Linked DNA regions of Yarrowia lipolytica. The protein of the gene in region 1 interacts with the protein of each later gene in a biochemical or structural test. Links are inferred from orthologs where the notes say so. Each region holds a gene or a part of one and is shown on either strand. Other genes may lie near its edges.

What was found.
Region 2: the proteins of YALI1_F20820g (region 1) and YALI1_E29085g form a complex in vitro, tested with the Saccharomyces cerevisiae proteins (2 studies listed by BioGRID). The link is inferred for Yarrowia lipolytica from reciprocal best matches to the Saccharomyces cerevisiae genes RAD51 and RDH54.

Annotation. Positions count from the first base shown.
Region 1 is NC_090775.1:2,080,297-2,083,771, reverse strand, and holds YALI1_F20820g (uncharacterized protein), read left to right. Parts: upstream 1-1,709; coding exon 1,710-2,699; downstream 2,700-3,475. Other genes in the region: YALI1_F20831g (uncharacterized protein), read right to left, coding at 350-460, 514-624. UniProt on the Saccharomyces cerevisiae protein: Required both for recombination and for the repair of DNA damage caused by X-rays. Its function may be modulated by interaction with other repair proteins. RAD52 interacts directly with RAD51, via its C-terminus.
Region 2 is NC_090774.1:2,906,833-2,912,147, forward strand, and holds YALI1_E29085g (uncharacterized protein), read left to right. Parts: upstream 1-1,704; coding exon 1,705-4,527; downstream 4,528-5,315. Other genes in the region: YALI1_E29065g (uncharacterized protein), read left to right, coding at 1-102; YALI1_E29074g (uncharacterized protein), read right to left, coding at 376-581, 942-1,005; YALI1_E29115g (uncharacterized protein), read left to right, coding at 4,700-4,842, 4,885-4,999. UniProt on the Saccharomyces cerevisiae protein: Involved in the recombinational repair of double-strand breaks (DSB) in DNA during mitosis and meiosis. Has DNA dependent ATPase activity. Promotes D-loop (displacement loop) formation with RAD51 recombinase.

The DNA.
Region 1 (3,475 bases):
TTGTTGCTCAATGGAACAAGAAGCTCGCTGCTGAACAAAGTACGCCGACCCCCAGAAGGCTCAACAACCTCACTCTGGATGGGACGCTCTGATCTACACTCACTGAGCCTGGCATACTTTAGTTTCTCCAGCTTACCATTTATCCTTGCAGCCGGGTACACTTGCTCTGCCTTGGATCTGGAATTTAGTCCTTTGTGTACCTGTAACTATCCTGCTTCATTGTCGAACCACTCGGGGCGGCCTTGTGGGGCTGATATCTAAGCTTGTCAAGCTCATTGAGCTCAGCCTGAAGCTCCAGAACCCTCTATGACTGCTCCCTGCACTCCTTCTTGACTTCTGCCTCACACGTTCAGCAGGACCCCGAGGAGCATTCTCGTTGTGGGGGAGTGATGGAACGATGAAGACCACCTAGGACAATGCCTATTGCCATAAATTGTCGGTGTGACCTTGTTGGATCCGTCTGAATACCTCACATCATTACCGTATATGTTGGTCCACCCTTTTTGCAGTCACAGGCTGCTTTTCGCCCAGATGACCATACCACCCAGTTGATTTGACTACCACCCAGTGACTACCACCCAGTTGACATTGTCGAAGTTCAGTATCACCAAGTATTATCAGCATTGTAGAATTGGAATATCACAAGGCATTCCAAACGTAGCCCAAGATTTCAACACAGCCTCCGTATCTTCGAGTGAGTCTTGAACTGGATGAGCCCGAACTGAGAGTCTTGTAGTACCCTGGTAAACCAAAAATCCAATGGCATCTCTCCTGTCATTTTATAGATGGACCTGTAACCGTGCTGAACTTCCAAGATTCGGTCCATACACACACAACCAATCCGTTTTGCGAAGGGTTTATCAAGTTGGGCATTGCTGACCACTTCAGAAAAACTCTTGGTCCTGATCATGTAATCGAGGTATGGAAAACTGCAGCCCTTGATATCGTCAAGCGTTTTGCTCATTCTCATAAGGGCTTGGGCGTGATAACCTGTTTTATTGAGGTGTCTTAAAACTTCCTTGTCGCCTGCGGCATTGCGAGCACCAGGAATGTTGATTTAGCAGGCAGCTTCGGGGAACCATTCGTCCATTTCGTGAACCGAGTACGGACGTTTCCGAGAGCGTCTCCTGTCGCTGGGAATGTGTCGTCTGCCAGTAAGATTCTTATATTCTCTCACCCTCTTTCCAGCCCCTCGCGGTTCCGAATCAGTGGTATAGGAAGCCTCGTCGCATGATTCCCCTGTCGCGGATATCGTCTCCGTCGTAGATATGACATTGTGGGAGATGATCTCCTTCAGGGAATCTCAGCGTGAGAAACGTAATTCTCGGTTCAGCGGTGCCTGATCCACCCCATGCATAAAATGTGCACGTCGACGTACAGCTTAATAACGACGACGTAAACCGCGGTTCTCCACGGGCCAGACTCGATTGTAAGCCTCTAAAGGTGGGGATGGGCGGAAATCCGCTTCAAGGAGACTCAGGATACCCCTACTGGCAGCTATGTGATTAGTCAGCTTTTTCTATCCCGTTATTTGACGTTTTTGGATGCCGTCCGAATGCTCTGTTTTGACGCCACCCAATATACTTTGCAACACGAAAACGCACGCGCCACCACTTTCAGTAAATTAGACTTCCTTTCTAGTCAAGACACAACACGTCTTTTTTTTTTTTTGGGGATCTTGCCGCGACATTCGCAAAACACACCCTCAAATGGCCGACGAAGAAATCGAACGAGCGGGCGCCATCCCCATCGAGCGCCTGGCCGTCAACGGAATCACCCAGACGGATATCAACCGCCTGGGCGAGTTTGGACTCTACACAGTGGAGAGTGTGGCGTACACGCCCAAAAAACACCTGCTGACCATCAAGGGCATCAGTGAGGCCAAGGCCGACAAGCTGCTATCAGAGGCGTCCAAACTGGTGCCCTTGGGATTCACCACCGCCTCAGACGTGCACCAGACCCGTTCTGGACTCATCACACTAACCACAGGCTCGTCGCAACTGGATACTCTACTGGGAGGCGGTATCGAGACCGGAGCCATCACAGAGATGTTTGGTGAGTTCCGAACGGGAAAATCGCAGCTGTGCCACACTCTGGCCGTCACCTGTCAGCTTCCCATCGATCAGGGAGGAGGCGAGGGGAAGTGTCTGTACATTGACACAGAGGGCACTTTCCGTCCCGAACGTCTGCACCAGATTGCCCGGCGATACGGACTCAACGGAGACGAGGTGCTGGACAACGTGGCATACGCCCGAGCCCACAACTCGGACCATCAGATGCAGCTGCTGCAAATGGCGGCCAACATGATGACCAAGTCGCGGTTCTCGTGTCTCATTGTCGACTCCATCATGGCGCTCTACCGAACAGATTACGCAGGACGAGGAGAGCTGTCTGCCCGTCAGACCCACGTGGCCAAGTTCATGCGAACCCTGCAACGCCTTGCCGATGAGTTTGGCATCGCAGTGGTGATCACCAACCAGGTGGTTGCCCAGGTGGATGGAGCTGTGTTCAACCCGGACCCCAAGAAGCCCATTGGAGGAAACATTGTGGCTCATGCGTCCACCACCCGGCTCTACTTCAAGAAGGGCCGAGGAGTGCAGCGAATCTGCAAGATCTACGACTCGCCCTGTCTGCCAGAAAGCGAGTGTGTCTTTGCTATTCATGAGGATGGAATCGGAGACCCCAAGGATGAGGAGTAGGCGAGGGAAAGCAATGGTTGCAGTAAATAGTGAGACCCATTTTATTTAATCATTTCGAGACTGTAGCGAGCATCTCGACCACATCATGGTCCCATTTTGATTACCTGAGTCGACGGGAATGGTCTCTGCGAACATCGTGCTTACAACCAACTCGGTAAGAGTTCATGGAAAGGAAGAAGGGATCTTTGATCTCCAATTATTTGATATTATGGAAAATATTATCTCAACACTGCAAAATTCGTCGCAATAAGGACTACTACATCACACAGCCTAAACTAAACGAGAGTCGACCGCTGAGTCAGCAGATCATAACGCCAGGGTGAAGACAGCCCAGGAACCAGTAGAGAAACAATATATCACGAGAGAAGCAAAAAAGAATGGACGACACCGGAATCGAACCGGGGACCTCGCGCATGCTAAGCGCATGTGATAACCAACTACACCAGACGCCCTCGATGTGTCCCGGGTAGGACACCGGTATTTGATCTCGAATTTGGAGCATCACACCGAAAAAAACGCCGTATTTCGATATGGAACTGGAAGAACAGGTGGACAAGCGAACACGAGGGTCATGTGCTCTTCAGAACAGTTGAATCTGAAACCGATGTGCTGGTATACCATTGTTTATAGGCCTCGAGAAGTTGTAGAGTATTCCCTAGAACAAAAAAAAAATAAAAAAAAAACAAGTAAAAAAAAAAATACAAGTTAAAAAAAACAAGTAAAAAAAAAATTACAAGTTAAAAAAAACACTGTAATGTTATATATGAAAAAACCGC
Region 2 (5,315 bases), on another chromosome or scaffold:
TATATTACTGGTACATACACACACTGTGCCGTGTTAGCTCCATCCATCTTGATCATCTCCAGCTGTGTAGGTACGAGTGGCTGGACCCTTATGTTGTGTTAGGATAGCCCAAAATGAAATACAAAGATATCTGATGAGTCGCCTCGGTGAAAACATTTGAATGGTACAGTTCTCTTCTTCCTAAGATCATTATCGGATGAGTAAGTCGTGGGCTCATACAGTATGTAGTGTTCTGATGCCATGGCGACTGTTAGCACACAATATACTATAGCCAATTACTGGAGAGCTCCGGTGTACTCATTTAATCCCCCGGAGCTACTACAAGTACGCGCCGCAATTGATCGTTAATATATACATGAATTGGTTATGTCTTCTCTATTTCTTGGCAAATTCGAGAAGAACGGCATCGACATCCTTGGACTCTCGCTGCTGGATCTTGAGCTTGAGCAGGTTGGGCTTGGGACAACTGGTGGATCGGGCATCCTCACCCTTGGACATGTAAAACTTGGCACAGCACTCGTACAGTTCGTCAATCAGCTTGGTGCACTTGCTCTCGTTGTAGCCCGATCGCTGCAGGCAGTCTGTGTTAGTGGTTGAAGTTGAGCTGGGGTACGGAGAACATCAATCTCAAAAAAGGAGAGCCATTGGAATTCTTGCCTGTTGTCTAAAATGACATTAACAGAGTCAGATCAAGGGCTCGATGGTAGTTTTGTAGAATGAACGGTTTCAATGAGGGATTTGATCGGCGTTTGACCCATATCCAAGCTTATCAAAGGTCCGATCAGCAGAAGCTCGTGAAATAACAGTCACTCTTCGCAGTAATCCAGTCGCTTACTTGGAGTGACCTACTCGGCTAGCCTCCTACTAGTAGGTGTAGGCTGCCTTCAATTCCTCTAGCCACACCCTCTGAGAGTCAAGCCCATTCCCATGTATTTACTCACCCTGGATCCGACAGGCATAGGCGTGGCAAGGCTGCGAGTTGTAGTCGATTTCTTCTTCAGCCATTGTGTTTATCGTATGTGTTGTGCTGTGTTGCTGTGTGGAGATAGTAGAGTGGGTTATGCATGTTGAGCTTGATTTCCCTTCTTGTAAGAGATGAAGTGGAAAGCAGTAATTGTGCTTCACTGTTCATAAATCTGGAAAAAGGTAATGTAATTCAAATAATCTAGTCTTACACTACAGATTAAGAGAAAAATCACCTCAATCAGACAACTTTTGCCGTAATTAGAATGACGCGCAAAGTTCCACCATCGTCCTTCATCGAACATTAAGTTGAAGCAGTACAAGTAGGAAAGACTATCTACAATCCACAGTACCTACTAGACACTGGACATGGTACTTGTATCACAGAAATACAATCTACATATATCATTCTGCTCCCCTTTATTTCTTGATACAAATACCGACTTTTAATATATCCGTGGTACCAATTACTGGTACCAATCACACCCCTTGACGCATCTTGTTGACCTATTTCTCTCTCCTACTTTTGTTAGACAGCTCTCATTGCAGAAAAGATGGTATCGTGACACTCCCCTACTAGCTCAATCAAACTATGGTATAGATCCGACCTTCTGTCACATATTATCTCCTCCTTTTGCCTCCATCTATCTTCTCTCCTCTCCTACATCCTCCAAAGCACGTCAACTCTAATTAGAACACGACTTTTCTCATTTCACGACGCGTCTACGCCTGTTCAAAAACATGTATCGACGCCCTGCGAAGCGCCGGGTGCCCAATCCCGATGTTCTTTTGGCGCCTTTCAAGCCGCTGACGCAAAATCTGCCTCCAAAAACCGACCCCAAACCCTCAATATCAGAATCGTCCGACTCGGAGTGTGCCAGTGACGATGATGAACAGGAAAAGCTGCGGGTCAAACGACGAAAGCTGAAGGAGCAACAGGAGGAGGAAGAGCGCCAGAAACAGGAAGCTGAAAAGAAACGACAGGCCGAACTCCGGGAGCAAAACCGACGCATTTCAAAGGAAGAAGCGGCCCAGATGCTCAAGGCCGTGGCAGAACCAAAACGTGCCAGACAAGCGGATCTGGGTGTGCTGAGGTCTGCCGAGGAGATTGAACAGGAGCTCCAGATCCGGGAGCGCAAGGAACGCGTGGAGTCCGAGAGAATCAGCGCCAGAAACCTCTCGTTCAATGCTCTGTATCGAAAGAAGCTGGGGCACAAAAAGAAGCATAAGACATGGGATGGAGATGGAATCGTGGTCGTTAAGGGAGAAACACTGTCGCTCTACACCCCTGAAGGTAAGGGGATCGTTCGGGGTTTCAAATTGCAGCCCCAGGTAGTCGTTGAAGAGGGTCAGGTGCTGAAGGTGGGTCCTCTAGAGATCGAACTTGAAAGTACCGTGGTGGAGGCCCAAAGAGGAGTGCTAGGCATGGTGGAGGATATTGAGTCACGTACAGCAGTTGAGAAAGGTCGTTCTGCTTCCGCATTACGTGAGTCTCCTGTTCCAACAAATGATACTCCAGAGCCATTGTCAGTTGAAGCAACTTCAGCGGTTGTGACGGAAACATACACGCTTCCTGCTCCCACGACTTTCAAGGCAGTGAAACGTCTACGTGTTAAACTACCACAGAAGATCACAGAGGAAAACTTTGCGACATTCATTCAGGATGTCAAAATTGACCCTCTGTTGAACACTGCCCTTCGGCCTCATCAGCGCGAAGCAGTCGACTTTTTGTACCGTTGTGTGATGGGTTTCAACCCCACATCAGGCTATGGAGCTCTCTTGGCCGACGAAATGGGTATGGGTAAAACACTGATGTCGATTGCTTTAATTTGGACGCTATTGAAGCAGACTCCGCTCAAAGGGGAACCTCCTCTAGCTAAACGAGTGCTGATTGTCTGTCCTGTGACTCTAGTGAACAACTGGAAGACTGAAATCAAGAAATGGTTGGGCCCTTCACGACTAGGTGTTATGGCCATTACTGACAGTATGAGCATTGATCTGGGAACGGTGATTCGAGATTTCACCTATGGACGGGTAAACCAGGTGATGATTATCGGCTACGAACGTCTCCTGCGAATTTCTGATCAGTTGCAGTCTGCCAACTTTGATCTGGTCATCTGTGACGAAGGTCATCGAATGAAAACTGCCGGAAACAAAGCCGCTAATGCCATCCAGAGTCTGGGGGTCGCCCGAAAGATCATTCTCAGTGGTACTCCGATCCAGAACGATCTCAAGGAGTTCTTTGTCATGGTTGATTTCCTCAATCCCGGTCTACTGGGCTCTTTCCAGCAGTTCAACAAAGACTACATAATTCCCATTGTGCGGTCTCGTGCACCCGATGCATTCCCCAGTGAGCTCGAAAAGGGTCAAAAACAGTCTGCTCGATTGTCGTCAATCACTGGCCAGTTCATTTTACGTCGAACTGCTGACATTTTGTCTCGCTTCTTGCCCCCCAAGACTGAGACTGTTCTCTTCTGTCTCCCCAACGCCCAGCAAACGGAAATATACACCAAGCTGTCTTCCGAGTATCTGAATCGACTCGAACGCCACCAAGTTGACTCGTTCAAGTCGATACTGTCACTCAGAAAAGTGTGTAACTCGCCCATTCTTTTGTCTGAGGATGGACCAGCCCTAGACTCGGGAAAGGCATATTTGCGTAACTCTGGTAAGATGAACACGCTGTTTCGCATGATTGGTCAACTGCGAGCACGTAACAAGATGGATCCTGACAACGCAGAGAAGGTTGTCATTGTATCGTCCTTTACGCAAACTCTGGATGTTATTGAGGGGCTGGTAAAGGACCTTAAGCTGTCATTCACTCGTCTGGATGGATCCGTACAAGCTTCTGCACGTGCCAAGATTGTCAAACAATTCAATTCTTCTTCCGCAGATAGCTGTTTTGTGTTTCTCTTGTCGGCGCGAGCTGGAGGAGTGGGTATCAATCTGATTGGTGCGTCTCGATTGTTCCTGTTTGACCCGGATTGGAATCCTGCTGTCGACTTACAAGCCATGGCTCGTATCCATCGAGATGGCCAGAAGAAGCCCGTGTATATCTACCGTCTCCTTACTACTGGATGCATTGACGAGAAGATTTTCCAGCGACAAACTATCAAGACCGGTCTGGCCAACTCCCTGATTGAAGGCACAGAAGAGGCTGATACGTTCACGGATGAGGAGCTCAAGAAACTCTTCTCTATGGACGTGCTGACCCATTGTAATACGCATGACTTAATGGAGTGCAAGTGTGAACACAATGGAGGTGATCTGGGAGAGGTGGTTGAGGAAGTGCAAGTGACCAAGGCCACAGCTTCAGATTCGTTCACTACGGCTCGTGAACTGGAGAAGAACCAAGACAAACAACAGAGGAGTCTCAAGAGTTTGCTGGAATACAAGCATATCAGTCCAGATGTTGTTCGTGAGCAATGGGACAGTCTGTCTGAGATTGGAGATGTGTTGCTGGAGAAGATTGTGGGAGAGAAGAATGATTTGGTTAGTTATATTCTGACCAAGACTTCAGTTCAAGCGTTAGACGAGGTTGATACGGTGGACGTTGTGGAGGAATGATAGAGAAAATGGTACGGGATTGCATAGCATAGCGATAGATGGAATGCATTGGAACTTACTTAATGGCACGACACTACTTGTAATTTGTATTTCATTTCAGGCAAATTTCACATAAACGGGTGTTGGTTCTTGCTGCTGGTTCACATTTCCTGGATGCCGAGTGTTGGTGACGATGGGAGCCAAGCGCCTTCTAGTAGGGCTACTCGTACTTACCGAAGTAGTCTCTACAAAACACTATGGTAAGATGGTGTTGTACAGAGCAGTTGTAACGGGTGAAGATTGGTTTACGGCTATCTGTGGCCCAGCAACACATCAGTTTTAGTCTCTCTAACCAAACAATATTATCCATTGTAACAGTTCAATAAGACACCGGAGCTTGCCAATTCAGTCTTGTCTGAACCACTACTGTACGAGTATTCGTATCATACTCCAGGAGTGCACTCTGTACTTGAGGCTCACAAGCACTGTATGATGCGCTATCGTACATGCCGTTCGAGACTGTATATCACGTTATTGGTGTGTTTGAGAGCGAAAAACCAGATTTCCATCATTTCCCATCACTTTCCATCACTTTCCACGACCTTTTACTCGTTATACATCACCCACGAGTGCGCGTACTCGTACTGTATTCGCCAAACGTCAAAATGCCCTGTTAATTAATGGGACTGTTAGAGTTCCGATAAGAGGAAAAGTTTAAGCGCATCACATGCTCCCAAGGGTCTGTTGGTGATAATATGGACTAATAACGAATCATAGGGTAATGAAACTAATCAATAAGTTGGATATAC